Yarrowia lipolytica: one gene and its partner. The protein of the gene in region 1 interacts with the protein of each later gene in a pairwise test. Links are inferred from orthologs where the notes say so. Each region holds a gene or a part of one and is shown on either strand. Other genes may lie near its edges. The genes, in order: YALI1_B04248g and YALI1_B26926g.

Evidence for each region.
Region 2: the proteins of YALI1_B04248g (region 1) and YALI1_B26926g interact in a two-hybrid assay, tested with the Saccharomyces cerevisiae proteins (2 studies listed by BioGRID). The link is inferred for Yarrowia lipolytica from reciprocal best matches to the Saccharomyces cerevisiae genes SLT2 and SMI1.

Annotation. Positions count from the first base shown.
Region 1 is NC_090771.1:411,925-427,239, reverse strand, and holds YALI1_B04248g (uncharacterized protein), read right to left. Parts: upstream 2,403-15,315; coding exon 885-2,402; downstream 1-884. Other genes in the region: YALI1_B04228g (uncharacterized protein), read right to left, coding at 3,074-3,988, 4,216-4,440; YALI1_B04212g (uncharacterized protein), read right to left, coding at 4,656-5,954; YALI1_B04200g (uncharacterized protein), read left to right, coding at 6,684-6,882, 7,148-11,910; YALI1_B04138g (uncharacterized protein), read right to left, coding at 12,554-13,342; YALI1_B04123g (uncharacterized protein), read left to right, coding at 14,871-15,315. UniProt on the Saccharomyces cerevisiae protein: Serine/threonine protein kinase involved in a signal transduction pathway that plays a role in yeast cell morphogenesis and cell growth.
Region 2 is NC_090771.1:2,686,481-2,702,404, reverse strand, and holds YALI1_B26926g (uncharacterized protein), read right to left. Parts: upstream 9,777-15,924; coding exon 7,635-9,776; downstream 1-7,634. Other genes in the region: YALI1_B27015g (uncharacterized protein), read right to left, coding at 1-893; YALI1_B27009g (uncharacterized protein), read left to right, coding at 1,490-2,704; YALI1_B26984g (uncharacterized protein), read left to right, coding at 4,002-4,868; YALI1_B26963g (uncharacterized protein), read right to left, coding at 5,022-6,041; YALI1_B26962g (uncharacterized protein), read left to right, coding at 6,211-7,452; YALI1_B26888g (uncharacterized protein), read left to right, coding at 13,220-13,386, 13,578-13,671; YALI1_B26874g (uncharacterized protein), read right to left, coding at 14,418-15,017. UniProt on the Saccharomyces cerevisiae protein: Protein involved in the regulation of cell wall assembly and 1,3-beta-glucan synthesis, possibly through the transcriptional regulation of cell wall glucan and chitin synthesis.

The DNA of each region.
Region 1 (15,315 bases):
CCTATGCGGTTCTAAGACGTCCCAAACAGGCAGTATCTGATAACAAGTACAAGTACATACGTAGCGCCTTTTCATCGCGTGCTTCATGCAGGTAGACTGACAGATGTGGCAACAGCGGGGGTGGATGTGCGCGAGAGATGAAGATGATGGAATCATTAACGAATGGATGGACGTGAATACTGAGAAACAGAAGATTAATGACGGAATCAAATCGCTCGATCTGCTTCTAACAGTTCAAACATTTTCTTTGATCAAATCTCATGGCTTCAGCTCCATCTCAGATCGTACTGTGTATAATTAACGTACTTTGTATGAGATTCAGCATGGTGGTGAAAAAAGACAGAAAAAACAAAAAAGACGGCTTGATAGACATGGAGTATTCGCACTTACTGTAGAACAGGTCCACACGGCCTTGAAGTACAAGTACAATATATACCGAGAAAACAGTCACTGAAAGAGGAAGCAGAAGATTGAACTGACACCAGAGTATGTAGGTCACTATTGTGCTGACCGGGTACCACCACTATTATTAATATACATGATGTACTGTACATACAGTACTTGTAAAGGGACGGCCACAACCAGCCCCCTCTTGGAGCCTCTCCTTGGTCAACACAGTATGTCTTCTTAACCTCTGCGATATCCGCTCTCCAGCAGTGCAATAGATCAGTGACCCCTTTCGAACACCGCATTTCGTACTCTCTCATCAGCACTCGTAGCTGTTTAATATTAACACATAAAGACCGTCTGTGCGAGAAACAAGGCATCCCATCTTCCAATCTACCTCCCCCATGTCGTCTCATCATGCCATTATATTACACTCTATAAGTATCATATCCTGCCTGCCCCTACCATTAAAATATCCAAACGTCTTTTCACCAAAATCAACTTCTCCATCCATCCAAGCCGTACTCCAGCTCGAGCTCCAGGTCGCCATCTCCCTGGCGTCCGGACTCCTGGGGCTTTGGTGGCGGGTCCTGGTACTTGAAGTCCTCCTCGGGGATACCCAGAGAGTCCTTTCGCTGAATGACGGGTGGCTGGCCCATGTCCGAGGTCTGTGAGCCGACTCCAAAGCCGGCGTACTCGTAAAAGTGGGGGTTAGCAGACTGGTCCGAGTCCGAGAAGCCCGACAGGGTGGATGGAGAGTCCTGCTGTTGAGGGTGATGTTGCTGCTGCTGGTGTTGCTGTCTCTCAGCTTCCTGCTGGTGTTGCTTCTGACGTTCAGCCTCCTTCTGTTGTCTCTCCACCTCCTGCTTCTCCTCCTCTCTCCGCTGCTCCTCGATCTGCTCGTCTCTGATTCGTGTCTGCTCATCGACAGGCTTTCGAACCATGGCCCGGAAGTCCACAACCTCGTCCAGAATCATCTGCTTCATTGCCTCCATGTCATTGACCTCCTCGAACGAGAAGTCGAACGGAGTGGGACACACAGGCTCATCTCGGGGATCGTGCCAGATCTTCAGGTAGGGGTGCTCAAGAGCCTCCTCAACCGTCACTCGCTCCGCAGGATCGAAGGCAAGCATTTTCTCCAGCAGATCCAGAGCCTCGGGGTTGGCGGTGGGGAATAGCGTGGAAAAGGGAATCTTGGGCATGAAGGGAAGACCCCGAACGTACTCCTGGGCTCTGGGACTGCCGATTCGCTTGAGAGTCTCCTCCGAGGGCGTTCCGAGGTAGTGCAGAATTTGATTGAGCTGGTCGACGTAGTTCTTGCCCTTGAACAGCGGCTTTCCTCCCAGAAGCTCGGCCAGAATGCAGCCCACGGACCAGATGTCAATGGCCTTTGTGTAAGACTGGAAAGAGAGCATGATCTCCGGGGCTCTGTACCACCGGGTGGCGACGTATTCTGTCAGGAAACCGGCATTCTTTTCGTCGTCGGAAGAGAATCCACGCGCAAGTCCGAAATCGCAAATCTTGAGCTCACAGTCGGCGTTAACCAGCAAATTGCCGGGTTTAAGATCCCGATGGAGAACATCGGCGGAATGAATGTACTTGACACCGGCGAGAATCTGGTAAACAAACGACTGGTAATGGGCGTCAGTCAGAGGCTGGCCGGACCGGATGATCTGATGCATATCGCACTCCATGAGCTCTTCGTACAGATACAGCTCGTTGAAATTGTTGGTGTCCACAATGTCCATATCGTACAGACAGGTGATGTTCTTGTGCCCCCGGAAGTGGTTCAGTAGCTTGAGCTCCCGCAACGCCCGCTTACACAGAATGTTTTTCGAGAAAATGTTGGTCACCTTCTTGATAGCAACTCCAGGCCCATCAGGCGTCCCAGTGTACTTGGCTGCACACACAATGCCGTACGCGCCATGGCCCAGCTCTTTGGTCACCTGGAACCGCTTGTCTATGGTGAATTCCTGGTTGAACACCTTGTACGTGTGTCGGTCCGCTCGTATCATGGTGGTGTCGTAACGTGTAGCGAATGAGTGGGTGCGGATGTGTCTAGTCTGTTGAGAGAGAGGTCCAAAAGGTCAAAGTTCGTGTGTGCAAAAAAAGGTCTCGTGCAAAAGTCGCGTGTCAAGGCCGTCAATAATCCCGAAGTAGTCCGTAAAAATGCTCGCGGTCGATTGATCGTTCCTGGAAGTAACACTGGTCTGGTCGACTCGTCTATTTTCAGGTGAGGTGGATGATAAAGTCAGACTTGGATAGAGTGAATTATCACACCAAGCCAAACCAAACTGAATTTCGAACTGTACGTCATTGCGGAGAATAAACTAGAAAGTAGAAAAAGTTGATGCTAGCTAATCGGCCATTTTCTTTTTCTCGCCCCTCTGGAAATCGATACAGCCTATCATCTACAGCTACTCGTCTATGGTGAATCCTGTCGCGTGCCCACACCGTTAGCTACCCACCCCGCCCTCTCTTCGTCGGCCTGCTTGCTCATGTCACCTCCATTTATTATACCTCCCAATAGCACAATTTCGCTCACCCTCCCACCTCCCACTCACCGTTCCTCCTCGCCCCCCTCGGTAATACACATAGACTTCCACTGCAACTTGCTGCGTCGTCATCAACCTTAAATACCTGACTAATAATACGGAAGTAAGTCAGATATTTTTACCACTAGATGTCACCATAGTGGCTCTCCGGCCAAATTGAACAGAATCTTGTTGGGCGTAAACGGCTTGAACATCATGCCCCGACGACTCAGCCGGTTCATGTTGGCCCAGTCTCGTATTCGTGTCATGGCCTTGTGGGGCTCGTCTCCCATGCCAAGGTAATATGCCACTAACCCTGCGGCAAGTGGAGCCGACATGGACGAGCCAGACTGAGCCACTGTGCCCCGATTGTTCTGGTTCGACAGCGAAATCACCTCTACGCCGGGCGCAAAAATGTCCACACACTGGCCCCAGTTGGAGAAGCTGGCAATCGTGTCCGTCCTGTCGTCAAACGCCCCGACGGTCAGAACCCCGTTAGCACTAGCAGGCGAGTCCAGACACGCAGGGGTGTTGGTGTTGCCTGCAGCCACCACCACAGGAATGCCAGAGTCGATCGCAGCCTCGACCGCAGCGTTGAACACCGAGTTCTTAGGTGCTCCCAAACTCATGTTGATAACCGCGGGACGGCCGTTCCGATGGATCTCAGCCGCGGCCCACTCCAAACCGGCGAGTACAGATGAGAGGGCTCCCATACCGTCCTCTCCAGTGACCTTGACATCAATGATGTTGGCCTTTTTCGCTATACCGTAGGTCTTAGACGCAGCTAGGCCGGCAACATGGGTGCCATGGCCGTTTTGATCACCCATGCCCTCGCCGGTGAAGTCTCGACCTGGTTTGCCTCGGTTCTCAAATTCAATGTGCTGATGACGCACTCCAGTATCTAGAATGTAGATGTCGACGCCGCTTCCGTCGGAAGGGTCGTGGACAAAGTCCTGGGGACCGAAGGCGCTGATGGGCTCGAGGTTGGATGTTCGGGCAAGGTGGCGAGGAGCGTTGGCCTGAACGTCGTAAATCTTGACATCGATGTCGAAGGTCCAATCTTTGATCTGTGTTAGTGACTGACAGGTTATTGATAGAGGGGACAACTTGGTTATACTCGTACGTAGCAGTGATAGTTTGTATGTTACAAACTGCTGCATCAGCCTTAGAGTATACACGTTGATAGACATCTCGATATCACATCTGCTCAATCTCTAGTAATCTCAAGTATCACATCACATAGTCTGTGTTACACAACACCACATCCGAAGGGGTATCAAAAGGTATCACTCACCATCAAGTTCTTGGCAAGGGCGTAGACCAGAGAACTGGGGATGTCCCCGGCAAGAGCCTGGAAGTTGCCGAAACTGTGGTACTTGTCGAAATGAGCCAGAAAGTGCGGATTCAGGGTGAAGAAGTCGGAGAGATGCGTCTCGTTTTTGAGCTGCAAGATCATGTTGCGGGCCTGTGCTAGCTGAAGTAGCAGCAGTACTGGAAGAAGAAATAACATGCGCGTCATAAGTTGGGTGTACTTGTACAAACAGCTCAAACCAAAGAAGGGACTGTCACTTATATATACAGTAAAGATAAGGTGGATTTTTAGACTTCCATACGAGTCACCTGTCTGTTAAGGTGGGGCACTGTATGACATACACTATAGTACAAGTACAGTATAATTACAATACTGTAACTACTGTAGTGACGACATGGACACTATTGATGCATTTCATCTTCCTATTTAGCCCAAGGAGCTTTCGTGGGGGCCATGCCTGGTGCATCTCCTCCAGGAACACTTGAGCCCGGAGCTCTGGTGGGAGGCAATGCAGTTGCACCAGGAGCTCCAGTAGTGCCAGAAGCACCCCCACTAGCCCTGTCCTCTCTCTCCTCCTTCTCTCTCGCTGCACGCTGACCGTCTCGACGAGCTAGACGCTCCACAGTCTCCATTGGCATACCTCTTGGGCCCATAAGTGGCAAACGAGCATGAGGAGTAGTCTGCGGTTCCTTCTTGGACTTGAATCCAAGGGGAAGCTTGGGCTTGACGGGCTCTTCGTCCTCCACCTTGGAGTAGGGCAGGTCGTTACCTTCAGTATCCTTCCAGGGATATAGCTCTGAACCAAAGTAAAAGTGCTGGACAACAGGGAACTTTCCCAGAACTTCTGCAATGTACATTTTGATCATTCCTGAGTGGATCTTAGCCCAGGTGGCAATTCCAGAAATATCGTAGAGGATGGGGGAGTGCTCATAGAAGGGGCCAGACTTGATATCGTAAATGAAGGCAATAGCTGCAAAGTACAGGTTGGTAGTCTTTTGCTGCTGGACGATTCGAGGATTCATGACACTCGAAGGGGGACACTCTTTATCGTACTTTGTGGGAACCAGAAGGGTAGATGCAGTTACTGATCGTGACACCTTCTGAGCCGATCCAAGAATGTAAGGGAGATGGGAGTGGTCATCCAAACCCCAAACTCCGTGAGATCCAGCAGGTTCCAGAGAGTATGTCATGATAAGTTTTCTGACAAGCACAAAGTATGTCTCAAAGATGAAGAGCACGTCTGGAGCAGGCAGATCTGTTTCCAGGAGACCCAGTTTCTGAAGGCCCCCCACAAATGCCATGAATGAGAGCTCATGGCCTGTTCCAAAATCCAGACGCTGTTTCGAGCCCATTCCCCCGTGGAGGTAGTATTGTAGCTCGATAATCGAGTCCTTGTTGATGCTAGGGAACGCCTCTGTCAGTAGAGCTGTAGTTTGGGCCTCCATCTTGTCATGCCAGTCTCTAACAGCGACGTTTCCAAATCGCCGAGGGCCCTCCAGCGGTGGCGTTTCGTCAATAAGAGCACTGAGTTTGCGACACAAAGTGACGAGAGCCTTGGAACTGGCCGCTAGCTCGTCTTCATTGGGGGGCAGAAGATGCTCTTGAACTGTAGACGAGTACTTGTCCAGTAACGAGATGATGGTGGCGTAAGGCTGAGATCGCTTGAAGGAGTCGACATCGGCGGCCGAAGAAATGCGTTTCTGAGGTTCACTGAAAGTCATTCTTGTTGAACACGAAGCTGTATGAAGAGATGAGTTGTATGTCCAAGTGTGATGATAAGCCTGTATGGTTATGCACAGTGAAACTTTGGCAGTGTCGGTGCGGAAGATGGTGGGATGATAGTGGTAGGTGGATGGAAAGTGAGCAGACCGAAATAGACTGCCTGAGAGTAGACAATTGCAATAATGTAGCTCGTTTCCCTGATTTTTTCTTCAATTGATGAAGAAGGGGGCCTCCAATGACCAGTTGGGGGCCTGCTGAATCTAGGTTCGGTCTACCTCCACAACTTTTGGTCTCTCGAATGTGAATTTATCAAACAAATATGTAGTCAATTTTGTTTCTGGTACAATCAAATGGATGTGAGAATAACTTGCTGAAAAATTGTCACTATTGGCCCACATCAACCGAGAGAGGGCTTCTCCTCCATTGCCTAACTAATGTGAACTACAACTTCAATAATACAGTTAACAGCTACTTAAGTAAAACACAGCAAGCTTCTTTTGGGAGGATTTCTGTATGAATCGAAGCACATTTTTTTACACATTCCCATTCAATGTCTCATCAAGAAGTCACCAAAGCTATCAAATGTTACATTATCCACTCCTCTCCGTCTTTTATCACCGTAATCACAATCTGTTCAGAATTGGTTAAGCTTTGTGCATGCATGTCATTCCAAACTTTTATCAACATCCAAAACATCTTCAGTGGCATCACCAAAAAAAACATCAACAATGCTTACGTGGTCTCTGGAGCTGTTTGATCGGCTGCGGGACACGATGCAGACACTGTCCAAGGAGCTCCACGACGACGATGTGGACGCCAACAACCTTCGGAAGATGCTGAACGAGGTCTCGTACCTGAAGGATGACTTTAAGATGTCTCTGGACAATCCGAAACAGAGTGCTTCTGATCGGGAGACTATCCAGAAGGGTGAGTATTGCAGGAACGACGACTGTGGTTCCAGATGGCGGAAAAATTCGGCGCGTGATTGGCGGGATTGGGTGGTGTAACAAGGGAGGTGATGGAAGCTCGTCACCAATCAGGACATGGAACCGGGTCCATGACACGTTGCTGTGCGGCGTCTCCTTGATCAGATCCCTCGGACTGCTTTATCTGTACCAGCTGCTATCTTATTCGCGCTGTGATGGAGAACATGACTCCCGGCAAAGGTTGCCATGACACCCTACTAACTCAGGAAAATACACATTTGGAGACGATGAACGTCAACTCTCTCCTGAGTTTATCGAGGGAACGCTTCTCATCGCAGATGAGCTTCAACTAAACGAAGCAGCTGCTGCAGAGCTCGTCGAGTACGCCATCTCTTCTCGACAAGGCTCCGACATGTCTCTCAGTGAAGCTGCAATCTACGCCTACTACACACGTCGACAACGTATACTCGACACAGTTCGTTTCCTATATTTTTGGATTCATGAGGAGAAGGATAAGCCCGAATTGATTAGCGAGCTCAAGAAGATCGCAGCTGTTATTGGACCCCACAAGGAAGTGTTCGACAAGTGCGTCGACAACATGTCCAAGGATGTAAATGCTCTGAAGGATCTGGACGAAAAGGAGAAGCAGGGAGTCTTTCTGGGCCGAAACCAGGACCCTAAGTTCGAGGCGACACTCAAACTGCGGCGGGACTTCATTCTGCAGGAACATGAGGATCTGGGCCAAACCATCACTGTGTTGATTCTGTCCGAGAAGCTCGATTTCGACTCCATTAAGAAGCTGATTACCGCTGCTTCTTCGCTTCGAGCATATAACACCCTGCTTTTGCATCACGTGCCTGCTTTGCTGTCCGTCTTCGGTCTGATTGAAGCCGACAATATCCAGCGACTCTCTGTTGGCGACACTCTCAAGCTCCGAAGCGACCTGTTCAGCAAGTCAATTGAGTGGGGCATTCCTACATTCCAGCGGTTCATCCAGCTTGCATTTCTTGCAGGATTAGCTGCCCTGGCACGTTCAGACGAAGGTCTCAGTTCTCAAGTGAACTTCACACGCGACATCCTCGATGTCTGTCGAGAGGCTATCGACGAGGGTGCTCTGGAGTTTGGATACGCATTGGCAACTGACACTGCTGCATTCAACGTCCGAAACGTGTTCTACGATATGCGGCCTGCTCTACAGCAGCGAGTGCCCGAGTTCAAGTTTCTGCGACGACTGTCGGCTGATTTCGAGGTACTCTGGACCCGTCAGATGCAGTGGTTCATTAGCACGTTCATTTCACATCTTCCCGACTTGCTCAAGCAGATGAAACAGTCCGAAGAAGACACTTTCCTGGCCAACGAGGCCGTATCTGATCCCGACCTTCAGCTTCAAGACGATGTGGGACGTGATCTGGAACGGTTCTACATGATGGTGTCAAATCTTTACGATGGCCACCCTGATGCTGCTTTGGATTACTGGGTTGATGGCGAGAGTGATCTGTACGGTTTTGTGGATTGGGCTTCTCATTTCGCCGACTCTCCTCTCATGGCTGCTACTGCCACAAACATGCTGGCTTCTCTATCTACTGGTCCCGAATGTGCATCCAACGCCCACCGATTTTTGGCTGCTGAGTTGCCCAAAACCAGAAACCCTAGACTCACTTGGCATCAGGTTCTGGACGCTTTCGACTTCTACGTCGATGCTCTTTCCCCCCAGGTTCCTGAGCGTGGAACCACCACAATGCCCAATGCGCTGGTTCAAGTCGCTGCCCCTGTGCTAGACAGACAGGCCACGATGATGATTGAGGCATACATGCACTTGGTTTCGCAGGTGCTGGCATACTCCCCTGAGGCAAGAGAATACCTTTTCGAGGCCGGCTTGGTAGATCGAGTGTTTGGATTGCTGACAGTTGAGACTGGAGTAACTGGAATTGTCCTGGAAGCTCTGTCCGGTCTAGCAGTTGATGCCCCTCTGGAGGTCAAGCGACTCCTCTGGACTCGTCTGGACGCCTGGGCTTTTCAGTCTGTTTACTACACAGCCGATGGACGAATCCTCAACAACAACTTGTCTCCCCGTGAGCGACTTCAGGGTCTCATCACCGATCTTCAGAGTGCTGTTGGATTCTCCAAGCTCGTTGAACGGCTCATGTACCCTGTCGTCGATATTGGTGGAGATCCTATTGTGCCTGCTCTTCCTTTCCCATTCGAGCTGGGTGCCAACTACAGATTCCCTGGCGTCTGGGTGTATGTTAACTACATGCTGGAGGATATTCTCTACTACTCTTCCGTCGCTCAACTAGAAGAGAGTCAAAAAATGATCCTGCAAATCACTTGTTTCAACTTCGCAAAGAGTTGTCTCAGACTCTTCAACCCCGACACAATCAGACTTGCCGCAGCGGCTGGTGTGTCTCTTGACAAGATTATGGACAACGACCTGACATTCAAGCAATACCTCATTGCTCATCCTTGTCCTCTGGCCATGGCTTTGATTTTCAACGAAAAGCTGTACACCATTATTCTGGGTCTGTGTGAGACGTCAGCTGATATGTCTTCTAACCTTGCTCGGTACGAGATTGAGCGAACTGCATGTGCTCTGGCTATTGTCGATCTGGTGTTCAGCATGGAGGAAAACTTCATCGACAACATGCTGCCTGTTCTGCAGGAGATGAGCAAGAAGAACGACCAGATCATCAGCAACATGAGTGTACATTCGTTCGAGGAGGCCATTCTCTTCCGGATGACTGTCATTCCCCATCTAGCCCATCACATGGCGTCTGCCAATGCTGGCATTGCTGCTACCTCTTTCAGCATTCTGTCTCGAGTTTCTCAATCGTCCCTGTTCAACGACAACGATGGACGAATCGCCACGAGCCTGGAGCCCCAGAACCGTCTGCTGCGAGCATTCAAGACATACTCTGACGCCCAGAAGATCAAGTCTGGCATTGTGGAACAACTCGAGCGACCCTTCGACGACTACGAGCACGAGCATCACAAGGCTACCGGTCTGGAGCTCAAGCTGTCGATTCTGCAATTCATTTCTTCTAACCTGGGCCGTGATTCCGCTGATGCTACCGTTGCTCATTTCCTGCTCGGATTTGCAATCAACGGAGACGGCTCTCTGGCTGCCGACAACGGCACTTATGGTGTTGCCAATCGAAACTCCGTCTTTGGGGTCATTCTCTCTCAGCTCACTCAGTCTGTTGCCAATATTGACCCTTGCAACGTCTTCCTTGACTCGGCTGAATTCGCTGCTGAATGCGCAAAGGTCGTGATGCATTTGTGTCGGAACCAAAACTCGGCTGCCATCACGTTAAGAATTTTGCGAGACTTTGGCTTCTTCGCCCAGATTCTCGCTGAGGAGCCTGTCACCGACAGACAGACTCTCTGGAACGGACAGGTGCTCGACATGAAGAAACATTTTATCATGAGTCCTGCTCCTGCAGCTTTCTCTTCTTTCTTCCACCACAGAACTGCTCTCTTCGAGTACTTTAGTATGGAGGTCCACGCTTCTGCTGTCAAGGGTTCGTTGTCTGTCGTAAAGCGGTACCTGGACTCCCTGGTGACTCTTGACAAGAAGCCCCAGTGGCACTACGCTGCTTCTCAGATCTCCACAACTGCTCTTTCGTTCCTGGATGTTCTTGAGTTCCAATGGGACACTCGGATCAGCACCCAGCCTGATTTCGGACTCTTCTCGTCCATCAACCGAGAGTATGTGGACAAGACTTTCGGCAAAGACAAGCTGATTGACATCTACGGTCTGCTGACGAAGCTTTACCAGCTTCGAGCTTATGAGCTGACCAAGACTGGTTTCGTTACTGAGGACGAGATCCCCATGTTGGATGCCCAAATGGACGAGCTTCTCGAATTTGAGATGGGCGTGCGAGCTAGTGGGCGAATGCGACAGCGACAGCTAGATTTCCTCAACTCGTGGTGCCAGTTGGTTCTCATTTTGCTCAACGACTGTGAGATGAACGCTCCCGATCGGTCTGTTTTCATCCTGGAGGCTCTACAGAAGATTGTGCCCAAGCTCGGATACTACGCTTCTTCTGACTCGGACTTTGCTGAGGTTTTAGCATCTCTCCTCTGCTCTCTGTTTGAAATGTACAGACGAGACATTGAGGCGATGAACTCCTCTGCTGGTCGAGACAGATCCCACGCTCTGTTCAGAGCCTGCATTGGAGCCATCAGAACGCCGGTTTCCACCCCCACACTCCGTTCCGACCTGTACATCATCTGCCACAAGTACCTTGAGTCGGCGGCCTCAAACCCTTCTCTGTTGAAACAAAACTACCAGGTGGTGCGTACTTCGGGAGACAAGTTGCTTGAGACTGTTTGTTCCGACGCCATTTCCGGAACCACACACCAGAGAACATTGGCTCTCATGTTCCTAGAGTCTTTGGCCTCCCTGTGTACCAGAACTGAATCTCCCTTCGTCCTGGACTGTCTGGTTCGATACAACCTGCTATTGTTGCTGGTTCGAAGCCTGAAGACTACCGACCAGCTGATTCATTCCACTTCTGAGCAGTTGCCTCTCGACAAGATCATGTCTGAGGTTACAGCTTTCCGAGCAGTCATGTTTTTCCTGCTTGAGATTGCGCAGACTCGAACTGGAGCCTTCCAGGTCGTGCAATGTGGCATTTTTCAGACCCTTCATGAGTGTCTTTTCCTCAACACTGACCCTGACGTTGGCATCCAGCTGGCTACTAAGGAGGCCAAGAAGGACAAGACGGTGGACCCCGTAGAGCTGTACTACCAGATCCTGACTCCTGTTCTGCGTCTGCTTACAGCCATTGTTCTTTCCATGGGATCGGAAAACCATGTGACTATTGAGCGGGTTGGCACCATTCTGCGAGACAGACGCCATCTAGTGGTGGCTCTGTTCAAAAAGGACGTACTCAACAAGTCTCAGTACAAGGAGGATGACTTGGAAAAGAAGAGCGGCAAGAAGAAGCCGCTGATTGGCACCGACAGTCTTGTTGATGCTGCCAAGCTGTTAACGGTGTTGGTTACTCTCACTGATGCTTTCAAATAGACACACACATAATTATACATTTATTATTGATTAACCCAAGCTGAGCTGACTCTCTTCCTCCACTAACCCTACGTAAACTCATCAACAGCAAAGAAAGCTCCGAGAACTCCGTATATTAATATTGTGAGTCGTAAATTATATTTCTTCAATTGAATTGAGCGCCTGGATCTCTCTTTCAAAACACTTCTCCATCAACTGCTCCCCTCTGGAACACTGAATTTGCACTCCTGGCTGACTTTTGTCTAACAAAATCTCAAGTAACTGGAAATTCGACAATTCGTGTAGAGACGACTTCAGTGCAGACTCTTCTGATAACGAGATTTGTGCCTGGGAGGTTTCTTCATGGTATAATATCAGAATAACCGATAGATGACCTGAATAGTGTCGACGCAACTGTCATAGCAACAAGACTAGCGATTGCAGAGACTAAGAAAACACCGGTTCCAGGGGTCCTCATCAGGATGAAACGAATGGGACACAATAAGAACCAGCAAGACGAAAATCACACAATCACAATAGCTACAATTCCCTTTAGACTCAATATATATATTGTTTATTACACTAAATTGCGACCTGGGACAGACTCGTGGCTAGCCAGTTGACCTGCCCCTGGGTAACGTAAGCTACTGGATTAGCTCGAAGTTTACTTCTTACCCTGGTTGGCAACCGCAGCGGCACCGGCAGCGGCGGCCTCGGGGTCGAGGTACTCGGCGGCCTTGGTAGGCTTGAGGTTGTCATCAAGGTCGTAGACCAGGGGGATACCGGTGGGGATGTTAAGGGCGGCGATATCGTCATCGGAGATACCGTCGAGGTGCTTGACGAGAGCTCGGAGGGAGTTTCCGTGGGCAGCAATGAGGACGGTCTTGCCGGCCTTAAGGTCGGGGACAATGTCGGAGTTGTAGTAAGGAAGGAGTCGGTCAATCACGAGCTTCAGAGACTCGGTCTTGGGCAGAATATCCTTGGGGATGTCCTGGTATCGCTCGTCGTTGTACTGAGACCACTTGTCGTCGTCAGCGATAGGGGGAGGAGGGACGTCAAAAGATCGTCGCCAGAGCTGGAACTGCTCGGGGCCGTACTCGGCGAGAGTGGCGGCCTTGTCCTTGCCCTGCAGAGCGCCGTAGTGTCGCTCGTTGAGTCGCCACGATCGCTTGGTGGGGATCCACAGTCGGTCGGCCTCATCCAGAGCAATGTTGGCGGTCTGGATGGCTCGAGAGAGCTCGGAGGTGTAGAGAATCTGGGGCTTGAGACCGGACTCCTTGAGCAGAGTACCGGCTCGCTTGGCCTCGGTGTGGCCGAGCTCGGAGAGCTTGACGTCGACCCATCCGGTGAACAGGTTCTTCTCGTTCCAGTCGGACTGGCCGTGTCGCAGCAGAATCAGTTTAGGCATTTTTGTATGTGTTTTGGTGATGTCACGAAAAGGACGACGCAGCATAGATATATATGGACGTGGAAACTAGGAGAAGGAACCTTATTGCTGATCCGTAAAATTATCGTGGAAAGAGGTGGGGAGGGAAGATATGGGTATGGGGAGATGCAGAAGCGACAAAACACGCAAATCGGAGCCGTCAACCTCACAAATATCGCCAATTCCTCCCCCATAGCTCCCCAAACAGCCCGTTGAGCGCTTTTGCCCTACCCTCTCCAGTCCAAAAAAACCCTATTGTCTGGTGACGTCTCCTACTCATGCACCTCGTGGTTGCTGTATAACTGGGGACTCCACGATCCGAGGTCAATTAGGCCACGTGACACCCAATTGTGTCGCTCGCACCTCAATTGAAGACTAAGCTCGTTCCACCACCTCAATTGAACCCATATGAGCACCAATCGCCCTCACCGCAACATAAAACGCTCCTCATAGACTAGTGCTATCCAAACGCTATTATGACGTGACGCTGAATAGGGTTGCGCTTAAACGAGGACAGTTGTCTTATTTTGGGGCAAGGTTAGGGCATCGAGGCAGTCCGTAACTGTCAGTAATTGCATTGTATCTTCCCCTTTGTCACGGACTTGCCCCTGACACTGGTTGGTTGTGTCACATTTGTCCTCAAACAGTGGTTCACGCCTTGATTTGATCTGAACCCAAAACCTGAGTGAGCACATGGAGAAGGTTAAAAACAAACCACTCTCAACGGATGCAACCCAAACCCTAGTGAACTGTGACTGCGAATGGGTCGTAATCTGTGGTTGGTACGAGACGTTAATAATCTGTGTCACGTGAGAATTAATGAGGTATCGCGATATATATAATATATTATATATTTTATATTTTTTTGGAGTTTTTTGACAAGAGCTTGAGAACGAGTTTTGGTGTATTCTTTAATTTACTGTAAAGTGAAGTATGGAAGATACTGTCGCTACTGTACATACTGTAAAGGTTGTCAAGGGTGCCTGCTGTGCCAGAGACCATAACAGTCCACTCCTCCAATTCGTTTGATAGCGTACGGTGAGGTGGGGAGTGTACAAGTACTGGTTAAGAATGTACAAGTACTCGATGAGGATTTTCAACTACAGTACTCGTACTCGTACAGCACTGGAATTGACATGTCTTCATTCCAACAACGCCTTATCTGACAACAAGAGCTGTGGTGGGGCTGTTCAAAGAGCTGAAGTTATATCCCAAGTACATCAAGTACAGTACTTACCGTAATTGCAAGTATGTTTTTTAGGCTGTCTACGGTTTTCGATAGTGAGTAGCGACAGTAGCTACATACTGGTGACTACAATACAGTCAGAAAAAGCACAGGGTCATCAAGTAATGAGAGACGCAGGTATCAACTGCAGAATATATAACCCATTCCCGGTAAAATATTGCTACAATTTCTTTCCATTGCCTACATACTCCCTGCTTACACTGTTGTGTGTTCACCATCTCACCTCCCCAGCAACACACGAAAGTTTGATTTTTTGTGCATACATATCGAAAAACATCTTTAGCATCACCACACAAAAACACATCCAACATGAGCAGCGGATTCTCGTTTGGAGCCAACACTGGTAAAACTGGCGGAGGATTCAACCTGGGCAACAATGCCTCTTCTGGTACCACCGGATCGGGATCCACCGGCTTCTCGTTTGGAGCTGGTAACAACAACAACAAAACCACAAACAACACCAACACATCCGGAGGCACTGGCGGTCTTTTTGGAGGAGGTGCCGCAGCTGGAGGAGCTGCCAAGCCCTCGTTATTCAGTGCCTCTGGCGCTTCTGGAGCTGGAGCTGGAGCTGGAGCTGGAGCTGGAGCGTCATCTGCTCCCAAGTTTAGTTTCGGTGCCACTCCTTCTGCTTCTACTCCTGCTGCATCGTCGACTGCCGCCCCTGCGGCCTCTGGAGGTCTGTTTGGAGGAGGAGCCGCTTCTTCCAAGCCCTCGTTTGGAGGATTCGGTGCTGCTAAGACCGACGATAAGC
Region 2 (15,924 bases), about 2.3 Mb from region 1:
GGGCATAGAGCGTAGACTGCACTGACTGCACTCATGATGAAGACAGGCGACAATGAGTTCTCAATGGCCGGATAAAGAGCCGACAAAAGCAGAGCTGTGTCCGCGTCGACAGAATTGTTGCCCTTTGGTGGCGCAATATTGGTACGGTTGTATCTTACTAGCAGATCAATGACGGAAGCTGCTGCGAACGTGTCGAGCTGGGGGATGATTCTGCAGAGACGCCTGTAGATGGGATGGATGAGGTCGAGGCGGTCGGGGCAGATGAGAAGCATGGACATGATAGCCGACCCGACAACATGAACGTTCTTGTCGGCCAGCAGCTGCTGCAAGAACTCGACCAACTGTGGGAATGTGGAAGGATCCACGTCGTAGCACTTGGCGATAGCTCCTGCGACAGCTCTTCGGACTAATGGCGAAACATCGGTCACACCCTTCTTGATAGCAAAGAGAACAATTCCTGAGATGGCCGGGACCCTCAGGGAGCTAAGAACTCGGACTCCGAGAGATCTGACAGTGGGAGACGAATCAGAGAGCGACTTTTGAATGGTGTTGACGCTCATAAGAGCCAGATCGTGCTCCATGGGAGCGTAACGGATCAGATACACAAACACGAGCTTGCGCATGTCAAGAGACTGGGACGCCGTGTTTCGCATCACGTCCGGAAAGAACTGCTGAGCTTCCTCTCCTCTGCCCTTGGACATGAAACCAATGACCTGGCGCATACCCGCCAATCTGTCACGGTCGCTGCGCGCATTAAGAAGCTTTTTGATTTCCTCCGCTGACAGGGGAGCGTCGTCTACCAGAAGTCGTGATGATGCTGATACTGCAGCTTCAAGAGTCAGCTCTTTGGCTGACTCCAACACCGCTCCGATTTTCGCAAACGGATCGGACATGTTGACGAGGCGGTTATGTAGGTCGTTGTGTCGTCGCAGTTTTGTTGTCGTGGAGAATTGAGAAACCCAAAGCCTAGGTGTCGCTCTTGTCGCCTGGGTGTGATGTCGATATTACTGTGATGATGCAACGGTGGATGCTGTACGGTACGTCTTGAGGTTATTTGCCTGTCTTACAAAATAGCATAGGCCTTAGCTATCGCTAGGAGGGATATTAGTATGGGCGGAGTACATAATGAATTTTGGGAGAAATATCGACATATTGAACGCGAAATGAACTCATATTAATATGATAACAGATGATAGGTGAAATGAATGTGTGAGGGTATGTGTGTGGAAGGATGTGTATGGGTGCTCATATCACCCGGTGTCTATATGACATCCCACATGAACTTTAGGTTCTCACAGTCCCAATCAAGCCTTTTCCATATATCAGCAAGTTTATAAAAGCAGTGCCTGAGCCTCCACAAACACCCCGACAAAGCTCAGCAGAAACCGACACGTTTACCAATAGATATCAACCGACTTGACATACACGACAGGACATTTTTACCTCAACAACTGCTCTCTACTGACATTATTACTACATCTGATCCAACATGCGTCTCATCTCCAAGGGACTGAAAAACAAGCTGGAGTACAAAAAGCTCGCTCTGGATTCCACTGACGACCTGTATGCGCTGACCAACGTGATCCAAAGAGGCGATTTGGTCGAGGCCAAGACACTGCGAGCAGTTCCACAAACCACAGGCGCCTTTGATGACGAGCAGATCCAGGGCAATGCAGGCAAGAAGAAGGTGCTTCGAAAGCTCATTTACATCACTGTTCGTGCCCAGAAGATTGTTTTCGACGGCGAGGAAATCCGAATCACAGGCGTCATTACCGATGCTGGCCACCACGAGTCTCTCAAAACGAAATATCACACGTTGGCTCTTACACCAGGCGATGAGGTGACCGTGATTAAGGAGTTCTGGGATTTCTTTGCGCTCCAGACGCTCGACCAGTACGTGGGAGCAGACACAATGAGCGCTCTTGCTATGGTGTTCAACTCCACTGGCAAGTTCACCATTTACGAGCTGCGTCATAGTGTCACTCGAGTGCTGGTTCAGGGATACAAGGCCATTCCTCGAAAATACGACGGACAGGGCTCGGTCGGAAAGACTCGAGGTAAGCAATACAACGACTTCTTTAACGTGGCCAAGGAAACGCTGCTGCGAACCATTGAAAACAGATGCAAAGCCGACTGGACTATTCCCGTGCTGCTCATCTCCATGCCTTACATGAACAAGCTCTTCTCGGAGTATTTCAAGGCATGGGCTGTGGATAATAAGGTGAAAACAGCCATCCAGCTGCAACAGGGCTTTATCACACTGGAAACTTCGTCCGAAGGCAAGACTGCTATTCGAGAGGCTCTCAAGTCAATCTCCTACAAATCCGCACTCAACAAACTGGCCATTGCTGCTGACGGAAACGAAATGGACCAGTTCCAACGCATGTTCCATACAGACCCAGATCGAGTGTGGTACGGAGAAAAGCACGTGGATTACGCTCTCGAAATGAGCGCTGTTTCTGTGTTGTTCCTGTCGTCCAACTTTGTGCGTGGATTCGATCACGCTAAGAGATCCAGATACGCTGAGGCCACTCAGGCTGTGCAGCAGAACGGAGGCAAGGTCTTTATGTATTCGCATCTGCAGGACTCGGGGCGTCAAATTGACGCCCTGGGAGGTATTGCTGCTATTCTGCGGTTTCCTCTTAACGACGATGCTGTTGAGCTGGAGGACGCCGAGCTCAGTGACTATTCTGACGACGAGTGATAGACATGTATATAGTATTGGGAGATAGATGCATGGGAGATGGATGCCATGACGTTCGAGAATGAATTGAATAAAACATTAATGAGCTCCAAGCTACTTTTATTCTGAAGTAAAATGACAACTAATAGTGGGATCAGTGCAACCTGTGCTTTTGTTCAAGTATCTTTTCTATTTTGTGCCCAACGTGATTAGATCTGAAAAAAACAACAACCGTGTATAGGCTACAGTAGTCGTACGACAGGAAATGGAGATCCTTTTATCTCACCAATTATCTCACCTTTAACCATCGATGTTGTATTACTGTACGTTACAAGATTACTGTTTCATGACCCAATGACGCCATAACGATGCATGTAGCTAATCAGAGCTAGGTTGCCTTGGTGGGGATAGTGTGGAACTACAAGTAGACAGATGTCACGATGATCAAGGTGGCCATCAGGACCAAGCTACGTAAACAGACACTTGCAAGAAAGTGTATCTGACACCGAGTAGAGACACAATTCAGCTAAACCATCCTCGTCTCACCTCATCTTACATCCCCTGTATTCTTGTATCACGTTAAAATATGTTCCGCTAGCAAGGTTCATTTTTCCGCTTAGCGAGCGCAAACCTAATTGGCAGTAACCACTGGTGAGTGCCGTATAGAGCGACATCAAATTGCTGTATTTAGTCCACGAGGGGTGTTGAAATTGGTTTTTTTTTTATTCCACGGTCGGTAAATTGTTGGGCCTCAATTTCACTACTCTAGATCCATTCTGATGAATTTGACAGCTGACAGTTTTCTTATATCCACGCGCCAGCTTTTAGCAGTAGCCTGTGGATATATCGTTGTCTGCGTTGTACCCTCAAGCTTCATATTGCAGCTTTGGGGAGCAGCACTGAAGTGCACTTGTCTCATTTCTGATTCAAATTCCCCCACCGCCTCTTTTGAGCATATTTGAGCGTTTGAGCTCCACCTTCCTCTCCGTTGAGGTGTTTCGTGGTGTTGAGATTACACCTTCATGCCCCACATTTATGATTTCGACGGCAAGGCTGTGTTAATAAAAGGATCAACGAGATGCCCTCAGTAACCACACAAAAACAGATGAGCAGCTTGATTTAGAATGTCGCACGACTGATGGCATGTGGATAGATCTCCATTAATCGGTTTGCATCCGCATTTGTTCCACTACAAATAGACCGACTCGGATCCGACCTAAAAGCTCCGGATCAACTTTGAACCTAGACGAGTGTGGGGTGCATATAAGCCAGGCGACCTTCCTCAGACGTGCACCCAGCAATACCAACAGTACACAAAATGCTTTCGCCAAACTCGTGGGATACACACGTTCATCTATTTGACCCAATTAATTATCCGTTTGCCGGAAGACGAACATACACTACCGACCAGGCACTTCTACCTGGTCTGGAGGCCCATTCCAGATATCTGTGTGGAGGCATGATTGGTAACAATGTACTGGTCCAGCCCTCGCCTTATGGAACAGACAATTCGCTTATTATTGACACGCTCAGAGGTCACTCCGATCGGCAAAACGGATACAAATTGAGAGGAGTGGTGGTAATTGATCCTGATAACACACCCGTGGAGCTGCTGCAAGAGTGGTGGGAACTGGGTATCAGAGGTGTCAGAGTCAATGTCGTGTCTACCGGTCAATTGGACGTTGAATATGTCTCTAAGACCCTAGTCAAGACAGCCGCTCTTGTCGGCCCTCTCGGCTACTTCATCCAGGCCTATATTCCACCAAACTACTGGGACAGTCTGTTTGATGTCATTGGGAACCTACCAGTAACGGTAATTGCAGACCATTTGGGTGGGATGAAGAGCCCCGGAGACACTGGATTCGAGTCCCTCATCAAGCTGACTGCTAAAAATGTGCTCATTCGAGTCTCTGGATTCTACAGATTGTCTGAACAGGGGCCTGGATACAGCGACTTAGAAGAAGTGGTTCAGTTCTTCGCCTCGGAGAGCCCCAACAAGCTAATTTGGGCTTCTGATTGGCCCCACACTGGCGGAGGAAAACAGAGACTGCTGCTCAATCCTGGAGATGTGGAGCCTTTCAGAGTTATTGATAATCATGCCATTCTGCAAAATCTCAGATCCTGGGTAGATGAGCGAACCTGGACTAATATGATGGAAACTCTTCCTGATAGGATTTACAATTGATGAGATGGAAACATAAATAGCAGAAACGAATTAGGCACACACAGATTAAAGGCCAGAGACAATAGTCTCCAAAATGGCTACTGTATATTTCATGGTACACTATATATCCTCTTACATAGCTACATACAGGTACGAGTATGTACTGTCTTTTAGCTAACTCCTGTCAGGACCACACTTTATAGCTAGTTCAAGCAAGATCTCAGACCCAAAAAGAACCACAATGAGAAGAATACCTACCAGTGGATAAAAAGCCACACAGGCTATACAGAGGGCTAACTTAAGCGAAAGGACAAACGAGTTCATCCGAACAAGAGTCTCGTAGACTGCCGGGCGATGGTTCTGTAACGCGTTCTTGACCATCTTCTCAATATTTGACTGCATTTGCGGACTTTCGCTTTCCTTCTTCTTGTCGTCCTTCTTATCCTTGGCATACTTCTTTTCCTCATTCTTATCATTTCCAGCATCGTCCTTCAGCTCCATTATCTCCGCTTTCATTCCCTGGGGGACCTGTGCGTACTTCACTGGTGGTACAGGGAATCCCTCTGTCCGTATGTATCGCGGTTCAATCACCTGAGACATTGGTCGCAGTAACGACTGGTTGGGGTATCCCGATATGGCGTCTGGCGTCTGGCTGATCTGTCGTGGCTGAAGATACGCAGGATGCATATGTTGCCTCAGCCCTGGTGGCATCTGGTATGGTATCTGGTATGGTATCTGGTGTGCTTGATGTATGTGAGGTTGCTGTTGTCTGACATGTTCATGCCAACGAGCAGAGTCCTGAAGCTGTCTCCGGGGAACACTGTACTTATCTCCCTCTCTGTCCCTGTCTCTGTCCCGTTCTCGCGTCCTCTCATAATGCTGTCTTCGTTCATACTCTTCTCTCTGATGGTCTCTGTATTTTCTGCCACGTGGAGGAGAAGTCAAAGCGTCTGTAGTCGTGGGCGGTTCGTCGGTCAAAATCTCGTCCATGGGTGTGGTGATGCGGTCTATGAGAGGCCTCTTCTCATTGCTGGTCCTAGAAAACCACTTGCGGAAGCCCATGCGCCGCTTGGTCTGGGGTTCGCAGAAACGAACGGTGTGTGAGGTATCGTGAAGCAGTGGTTTGTCTGTGTCGGTATCACTGTCGAGCTCGGAGAAGAGGCAATCTGAGCTGTTCTGTGTGGCGTGGAGCATGGGCACACAAGTGTACGCACGTTGCTTGTGTTGGGACTAAACTACTTGTAGTGTACCAAGTAACCTTAATACAGCTAAACAAAAATAATATCTGTTTTCATGCATCTCGGGCTGCATACGGCTGGCATCAAGTTTCAAGTGGCATACACTGTATGACATAACTACAACCATGTCATTTGCAGAAATGAGTATCGACGAAGCGCCCGACGACGAGCCTCTGGTGACCGGATTCAGTGGCTTCACGTTATCTGACCAGGATGTCCGGAACCGTCAGTTACAATACCACCGACCCTTGCAGCAACAACAACCGTTTGACGATCTGACCTCGGAGTTCTCCAATCTGCGAACTAGCGAGACCCAAGACCCCGACGAAATGGACATTGACGACCCCACGGATCTTCTTGACCTTCAATCTGTCAACCTATCGCGCATGAACCCCGAGTTCCTTCCGCCTGTGTCTACACCCATCAAGGCAGGTAAGAGAAGAACTTCCTCGGTGTCAGTTGCTGCTGCGGCACCCAACTCGCCATGGAAGATCTCATCTGTGTTCAATCCCACTGAACTCGGTGCCCAGTTTGCTGTCAAGGAGATTGAGAAGAATGAAGACGTGGATATGAGCATGGTCCTCTACTCCCCTGTCAATGAAGGTAAACCCCTTGATCAGGCAGACGATATCGATCCCGATCTTCGACCAGACGCTAAACACGGCGACTTCTCTCCTCAATCTGCCCAGGCAGCAGTACACACTCCAGCACCAACTCTTCACACTTCCGAGGCTCAAAGCCCGGGGCAGGATCAGTCTGCAGAATACCACCTTCATCTGCCCAACCCAACCCTTGGATGGATGATTCAAAACCCCAACCTGCCGTACATCATTACCTCGTATCTACAGCTCGCGTTCAACGGCATCATGCTGGCCGTCATGGCCTACGTGGTCTACTTATTTATTTCCTCGGTCCGACAGGACGTTGGTTTCAAGTTCTCAGCTCATTCGGGCGAGATCCTTATGGCAAAAAGCAAGTGTGCAAAGCTGTACCTGCTTAACGAATGTGCAGCCAACTCCCGCCGTCCAGCTCTGGAGACTCTCTGTGACCAATGGGAACTGTGCATGAACAGAGACGAACATGCCGTTAACCGAGCCCGTCTCGGAGCCGAAACACTGGCCGAAATCATCACGGGGTTCATTGACAGATTCTCATACAAGGCCTTGGGGCTCATTTCACTGCTTTTCCTGGGGTCCATGTTTGTGTCCAATTTTGCATTTGGCTTCTTCAGAGCAAAAGCATACTATAATGGAGAAGTGGAGAAACAGAATGGCCTCTGGGATAAAGCAAGATACACTTGGGGAGGGAGGAAAGAAGATGAACCGAAACGACTCGTCTTTGGTCAACAGAATGTTCTCCAAAACTAGCTTCTCTGATACCATTGCTACAAGTAGCTATAGTAACAGTATGTACATTACAGTGGGCCGAGCCACCTTATTGTTCTCACAGGTAATTCAACACGAAACACACCCAGTCTTTCTGTAACAAACACTTTTTTTATATTTTCTGAATATCTTACAGCATCATCAAAAAGTTATGCATACATACATTATTTCTTGCCCTTCTTCTTATTCTTCTTCTTGGACTTGGACTTTGAGGCGGTTGTGCTCTTGGTCTCCTCACCCTCCTTGCTGTCACCCTCCTCCTCGTCATCTTCATCATCGTCATCGGCCTCCTCATCGGCCTCCTCGGCATTACCGTTTTCCTCGTCAATCTTGAGCTCCTCGAGATCCCTCTCGACCTTGCTCTCCTCAGACTCAGCCTTAGACTCCTTAGACTCCTCAGCGGCAGCCTTCTCGGCCTCTACCTTCTTGGAAGCGTCGGCCTCAGCAGCTCGCTTAGCCTCAGCCTTGGCAGCCTCAGCGGCAGCGGTGGCCTTCTGCTCCTCTTCAGCCTTGGCGGCAGCCTTAGCTACCTCCTCTTTCTTGAGCTCCTCCTCCTTGGCTTTGGCGGCAGCCTTGGCCTCCTTCTCCTCCTTCTCTCGAGCCTCAGCAGCCTTCTTCTCAGCCTTGGCCTTCTCCTCAGCGGCCTTCTCGGCGGCCTTCTTGAGCTCTGCTTCCTTATCAGCAGCTTCCTTGGCAGCCTTCTTGGTCTTCTCGGTGGCCTCCACCTTGGCCTTTTCGGCGGCTTCGTTGACATCCTCCTCCTTGCCCTTGCCCTTGCCCTTGATCTCCTCAGACTCCTCAAGAGGCTCCACAATTGTGTGAGCAGTCTTGCTCTCGTCAACAATAGTCTTTCGGAGAGCAGAGCCCATAGTAGCCTTGCCCTTGTCCTTAATGGTGGCAGTGTCCTCGTTGAGGTCGACGATGTCCAAATCCTGGGCCGGCTTAGAGGTCAGGGGCTTGCCCAGGCCAGGGGCTGGCATGCTCTGTGTATGCTGTGGTGAGGGAGAGTGGAGGCCTCCCTGTGCGTGATGTTGCTGCTGCTGCTGCTGCTGCTGAGCGGCGGCAGCGGCCTGTCGTCGCTCATGTTCCCGTCGCTGCATCTGGTGTCGGAACTGTCGCTCCACTCGGGTCTTGAGTACAGTGAAGTAGCTAACAAATGTGCCTCGGTCGGTCTTGAACCACAGCTCCTCAGTGTCGTGGTCAACTTCCCAGTTGCCCCGGTCAAAGTCATCGGCGACCATGGCCAGGAAGTGAGCCCACGACTGGGCCACCACGTATTTTCGGTCAAACTCCCGACCGAACAGAATCACCTGACCCCATTTCCCCTTCTTGCCAGGTGCCAGATCGACAGCAATGTTGTTTCCGGCTCGATCGTTGGCCAGAGGGATCCAGCCGGGGTGTGCATAAACCAGCTGGACGGCTCCCTCGGGGACAGAGTCCTGCGACGCGAGCCATGAGCTGATGTTCTTTTGTCGGGCCACAGAGGCCACGGGGGAACCGGGGGTGGAAGAGTTGGGAGAGCCGGCGTTGGGATTGATGAAGATGCCGCCCTGCTTAGTGGGGGTCTGGCCGGTGGCCCGAGCAATCTCCCGGTTGATTCGGATGGCGGCCTTTTTCCACGAGTACCACTCCTCGGCAATGGTCTCGAGATCGAGCAGGGTGATGCCGAAGATGATGCCTGAGGGTCGGCCAAACTTCTCCTGGCCGTCATGAATCAGACACGAGTCTCGAACATCCAGGGGAAGGGAACAGTCGAGATCGGCCTCCAGTTCGTTGAGATCGGAGGCGGTGGCAGGGTAGCAGAGCTGATCGTTGAGCTCGGGGTAGTGTTCGTCAGCCCACTTGTCGATTCGCTCCCATGACATGGCCACCGAAGGAGCCGGCGGCTGACCGTCAACGTACTCCTGCAATTCGTGTGAGTCTCGGGTGACTCCTGCGGGGTCATTGTTTCCAATTGCGGACGACCGTGATCCAGGAGCGTAGGGAGCCTTATTGACCGACGTGGATGAGGCCGAGAAGTTGGTGGTCGAGTTGTTACGGGAGCTGTAGGGGTTGGCTCTGTCAGCAGCGGCTCCTCCGGCGAGATTGGACGACGACGCCGAAGGGGAGTTTGTGTACCCTCCAGTGTACGAGGAGGAAGCCTGGTACATTTCACTCTGGTTGTCGTCATTGTTGTAGAGCGGTCTGTTCTGGGAGTTTGCGCCGGCGCTTTGTGACGCCTTTGACGATCGCTGTTGCGACGCGTATCTGTCTGGGGTTGTGACCGAGTGGATGAAATCCGACACGGAGTTGAAGAACGAGTTCATGATGTGTTTAGCAGGGGTTCGTCCAAGTCGCGTCTATCTGTGTGTGCTAGGTCAGTCGAAATAAAGGTGTGGTGCTGGAGCGGTGATGTGAAGCGGCGTGTGAGTCCCAGCTTGAGGGTCAAGTACAATCTGTTGCACAGAAGAGAGAAACGGGAGATGGCGATCTGAACTTTAAGGGGTTTCTGTGACCTGCGACATTTGGGTATCTATAGAAATGGGAAAGATGAAGGAGGTATTTACTACTTGTACGTATTCCGGTGGGGGGGTAGAGAAGTTGAAGAAGATCCAATATACCTTTATATGGCCCTCTGCCGTTGTCAATTCACCCCTACCTCGACGCCTACGACTACAACACTGCTCCATCCACTAGACCCCATTGCCTCCACGTCGTGCAATTACCCGGCCGAGTTTATGGTTCCACTTGAGACTGCCGTTTTTGGGCCATTTTGGGACATGCACAAAGTTCACGCTAACATCAAGGTTCCAACACTAAGCATCCATTGAAGGTGAACTTATTTGACAGGACAGAGAGACACACATACACCCAAGGGGCAAGAGTACTTTTAATAATCGGCGTGCGTGTCATGAGATTACAGTAGCAAAGAAAAGAAGCAGATTGGAGCTGCGGAATTTGCGTGAGCGCCCCACGGATCACACTGTCACGTGATTGTCTCATCCACACAGCAACCATGTATTCAGATAGCCATCTCCGAATTAAGCTGTGGAACAGCAAAGAAGGCGAGACAGCCAGAACGGGACACGGAACAACGACCCGACGTCGTCATGTGTCCTGGGGGAGCGGTAATATACCAGACTGTCTTTGTCTATACCAGCCATTGGCTATCATCATAGGCACTATGACGTATACGTACTCGTACTCTTACTGATACTCGTGCTTGGAGCGCTACTCTTTTAGTAACTCCTGCCTTCAGCCTTACTATGCCGTGCTGACCCGATCCACTCTGTTCCGTCACGAACGAGACACAAAAAAGACACGTGGTGCGCGCATAAAGAAACGGATCTATTTTAGCCGTTTTAGTGACATGTGAGGGCGCTGCACTCTAACGACCTCCTCGTGACCGCAACATGAGCTATATCTACCTTGTCCTGAAGTCATAAGGTCTGGGGATCCCCGTCGGCGATTACGGATTGTCGGCCGAGGCTTTTTTTCCGAAAACGCCGAAAAATCCAACTCCGAAAATATATATGTGAACGGCTATAACGCAGAGCAGTTATTTGACGGAGTTGGACCTCGAGTGGTTCTGATATATGAGACATATACTTGGGTGTCGCGTACCCCCATCCAATCAATATTCGTACATACAAGTATTTCAACTGTCGTCCCATTGCTGCCATATTGGCGTGTCCTTAAGCTCTGCATATTTGGCTGCGCCATGGAAACTGCACGGAACAATTGACGGAATGTTGGCACGGAAAGTTACAACCAAGATACCAGTGATATGAACTAATAACAGCCATTTATTGAACTGAGTTTGGAAGGAGAAAAGGCGGGGAGGAAGGAGTCATTTTGCATCTTAGTGACAGGCCCTATTGGTATATATTGTCAAGGAGCTACTTGTAGTACTCCAAGTACATAGAAGTGACTGCTTTTCGAAGCATACTTCGGTTGTATTTCGCGTACTATTAGACTCAAGGTCAAACTCCACCAACAGGTTAACGACCCCCAAAGTCAAGAAGCTAAGAATATGCCTCATTATGGGGTAATCGAGTAAAAAGTTGTGGAAGCCTTGATATCTGAATGCTCGTCTGATTCAGCTCGATCCTGTGGATATCATTGTTTGCGTCCATAGTACATATTGGCCTATACCATGGTAGATGTCCTAAACGTACCTCGGGCCCCTTACTGATCATGCTCAAACTTGAGGTTCGTGTCTTTTTTTTTTTTATTTAGCTGCCGCTGAGCCAGGCTGATTCCTCCACTCATACACAGAGTTTTCCGTGGGATTTTGCTGTTGTTCCTAGCCCTACTTTTGCTTAGAAGTGAGCTCCAAATGTTGCCCAAGTATTCAAAACGTTGGGATGTTAGTCATCAGATATGGCTTCTATAGGGCTCTGTGGGTCTTATTATGAGCCACCAAAACCCCAGGTCTACTGAAACTGGTGCAATGAAAACACATGATCAGTCAGATTCCCATTTGAAGCTATGTAGATTCCTCTATTGTATCCGATCAGTCTCAATATTCACATCTCAACTAAACTCTCAACTAATTTACGTATCCAAACTAATGTCAACTATCGGGACAGCTAATGCTCATGATCCACCTCAAGAACCAGCCCTGACGTCATCAACCCACCTGATGACAGAAGTCTTTGCTATCATCTCCACCATATATGACAATATTCAACATTAAATGTACGGTTCACATGCTGCGCACCTACCCCTGGATGCCGTCGTCTCTGACTGTACGATCCACTGGTCACTGCAAGTAGCACTGTACATCTCCACACTGTAGACGATCTCACGATCGCGCTGTAACAATAATAATACGTCGTTGCTACATGTGATAGATACTAGTAGCTGATAATACGTGATCTGGATGAATTGAATTGTTAGGCATAGGTATTACTGTACGTTGCTCGCACCTTTGCCTTCCACGGCTCATTGCATATCTTGCTCTGATCGGAAAATGCTTATTGCTCCCGTTTCGCACATTCTATACAAGTAAATCGAGATCGTACACTTTCCATTTGCCCTCAACTTAAGCCACTTTCGACTCACCAAGAATTGCTACTACTCCTCGTTGATCTGGCATAGACAATGCCATGTTCCACACTGTATCGTCTTCGAATGATAATCTGAAACTTCATACAGTCTACAATTAGTCGATGAGAAAGGGCTGGTAATAGTGGCAGAAAGACCACGACAATTGCGAATTATACAGCCAAAAATCATACCAGCCAAAAATACAGTCCCATTGGTCACATTGATGATGTTTTCTTCATGAAAACCCCACGCCAATGCCGCCTTGCTATCTCGCACCGTTTGAAATCACATTTTGCAGTGCCTAAATTGAGGAGCTTAATTGAAAGCCAAAATATTTTTAACGCATACTACAGTGTACGCGTTTATGGTTGCCTAGATACAGTGTCGATGGGGCGGAAGAATGGAATAGTTACTATATCTGGACGAATAGTAATGGGATTAAAATAATAATGCAATGGATGCTTTTAGATAGTCCTATATATCTTGATACCACCCTTTATAGACTTCTATTTACATCTCACATCCCATATTGCACCATCTCCCGGTCACTCTATATACATCTCTCATGCATATTTAAGGCAATGGCTAATCCCAATTAGGACGGATCCAAACAACTCTAAATCCCTGCTCACACATACATGGGCCCTTAAACTGATATATAGAGAGGGTCCTGGGTCCTAAACACTACATTCAACATCTCCCTTCCACACACAGAAAAATGAACCAGGCTCCCCTCAACCCTTCTTCCGGTAACTCCGGCAACATGATGCAGCGACAGCTCCACAAGAAGTTGTTTCAGCAGAAGAGCTTTGCCAGTCCAACCGACAACCTCATGAGCCCATGCTCCGCCAAGCTGAGAGCCCACAAGAACAAATACATCTCTATGTGAGTATTTCTAAGTCAGCTGACAATCATGTGGCCTATCACACGTGATTGGAACCTCACAACCTACCTGTTGTGCCTTTCCTCTCCATGGCTTTCACTGATCTACCTGGTATCAAGATCTGTCGAACCACAAAACACTTCGTCAGGTTGCACCCCGTGATCTAATATCTCCCCAGTTCCTACTAACACAGCAACAACAAGGCTAAGCCTGGATTGTCCTTCAACGCTCGACTTCAGAAGTCCATGTCTGAGGAGTCAGATTGTGACGAGAAGGAGAACCAGTGAACCCGTTACTGGTCTTGACCAATCACAAGGCTGGAACTTGATTGGAATGTGATATCGTATTTATTCAATAGCTAAAGAGCTCGTACATAGCAATGACTGATAATTAGTGTACTGTTGATGTAATGAAGACAGTAGGTCCGAGCACGTGGGAGGGTGTATCGAAGCATAGCAAGTGATAGCAGTAGCCTGTGGTACTGTACTATAACTGGTGGTAGTTGTTGATGGTCATGTGATATAACACAGCCCAAGAAGTCTATTAATTAATGTGTTTTACAATACTCGTATTGGTAATTCAGTTCTACTCACATACTTTGTAGTTGTACCAGTACATACGCTTTGTCTACCAACATTCTTGATAATTCAGTATAGAAACACTGGATTCTAGTGTCGATAATTTTTTTGATTTTAACGGACTCAATGAGGTGTTAACATGTTCTCAGGGTATTAACAAGCCTCCATAAATATCTACCATAGTTTGTGTACATACGAGGCTTCCTATTGTGACTCCGTTGTCAGTTCAATCTATGTATAATATGTAGTGTACAGCATACTCGAATAAAAAACACAAATTACAATAAATTATAACACCATCTCCTACTCCTACTCTACTCCAACTGGTCCTGTACCTCAAAATCATCCTCCAGGCTCATGTCCCTGCCCACGTCATATTCCCCCCTGCGTGGATACAACATCTTCATTCGCAGTAAACGTGTCTTGTAGATATCGATCATATCCTGACTGTACATCTAGGCTCCCAGTTTTCCCTCTGAATATCCAACAAACAATTCTCGTCCAAATAATACCAGAGAGCCTTGGTTCAACTCAAAGTTTTCTTTCATCAACCAGACATTCCAGGTAGCCAGATCCACAATTAATAAAGATTCTTGTCTCTTTCCCCCAAAATACACGGTAATATAGAGAAACAGTACGTATGGTTGAGCCCCCCGTGGGATACTAGAGAAGAGAGAGTCCATGTACCTTTCGAACAGCATGATCCGGTCTTTACAATAGTACATCTTGCTCACTCTTGTAGTCCCACTTCCATCGTCCTCAGGAATATCTTTCATGTCGATGAAAATGGGAAATAACCCCATGTACCCTTCTGGAGAACGGTCTACCATCCATTGGAGTCCATTATAAACCGAGTTAACTCCTACGACCGACGATAGAAACGAATTAGTTTTGGGAACCTCGTCAGTATCGACATGTGATTCATCAAACTTGACATCTCGTGTCTCTGCAATATGAAGCACTCGTCGGTTGTCCAGATCGACAACAAGCACCATTGGCTGTGGAACCCGCAAAAGATCATCATCCTCGACCAAAAACGTATAACCAGAGGTCATATTTCTTTGACCTCTTCGGTTAGTGATTCCCTTTCCTGAACGCTTCCATCCGCGTCCTTGCCGAAAGTCTGGGTATTCTCGAGGCAAAAAATCCACACGTCCTGTGCGCTGTACACCACCACCATGTCTTCGTTGACGTCACAGCTTGTTTTATTCGTGACCATGTCTATCGGAACAACAACTCTCACACCATCACAGTCGTATACTCCTATTTCGTCAGTCTCTTCAACTGTCCTGAGAAAGTCCAGTAGCGATGAAGGAGGCTGAGATCTATGAGCCATCATGGTATGCAAGTCCATGTAGTAATTGTCATCCAGCTCCAACATGGTGTTGTACTGTGGCTCTCGCGTGACCATCAGAGGCTTGTAATCTTTTGGAAGAGTGGTCTCTACCCCGTCAATATTCAAGGAAATCGCTTCTGTCAGCTCTGTAGGGTATTTAATGTCCTCGAGACACTCAATTGACGTCCACTTACCTGACCCCCAAACGTCCCACAAACACCCGGACACAATCCCTCCATGTTTTCAGTTCCGTTCCGTCTTCTCCAGGCTTCAACACCAAGGGTTCCTCTCTTTCACTTTCTGCTTCAAGAGCCGTGCATCCAGCTGGTTGAATGCCGCGTACCAGAAGGTACTCACTTCCCTCAAATCCACACACGTTTCGAGCTCGGCATGGGCAAATATATTGTACACAGTTTCCGGAGGGAGTTCCATTTCGACGGTTGATGAAAGTAGCGGAGCGAATTGTTACCTCTTGAATAGGTGAACTAGTCAAAAATGGATGGCAGGGCTATTTTAGGGTCCACAATAGTTACGAGAAAGCACACATTATTAGTGTAACGGCGGGTCATCAAGGTTGTGGCTGGCAGGAGGTACCAGGAGGTATTACTCTCCTTTACCCATATATT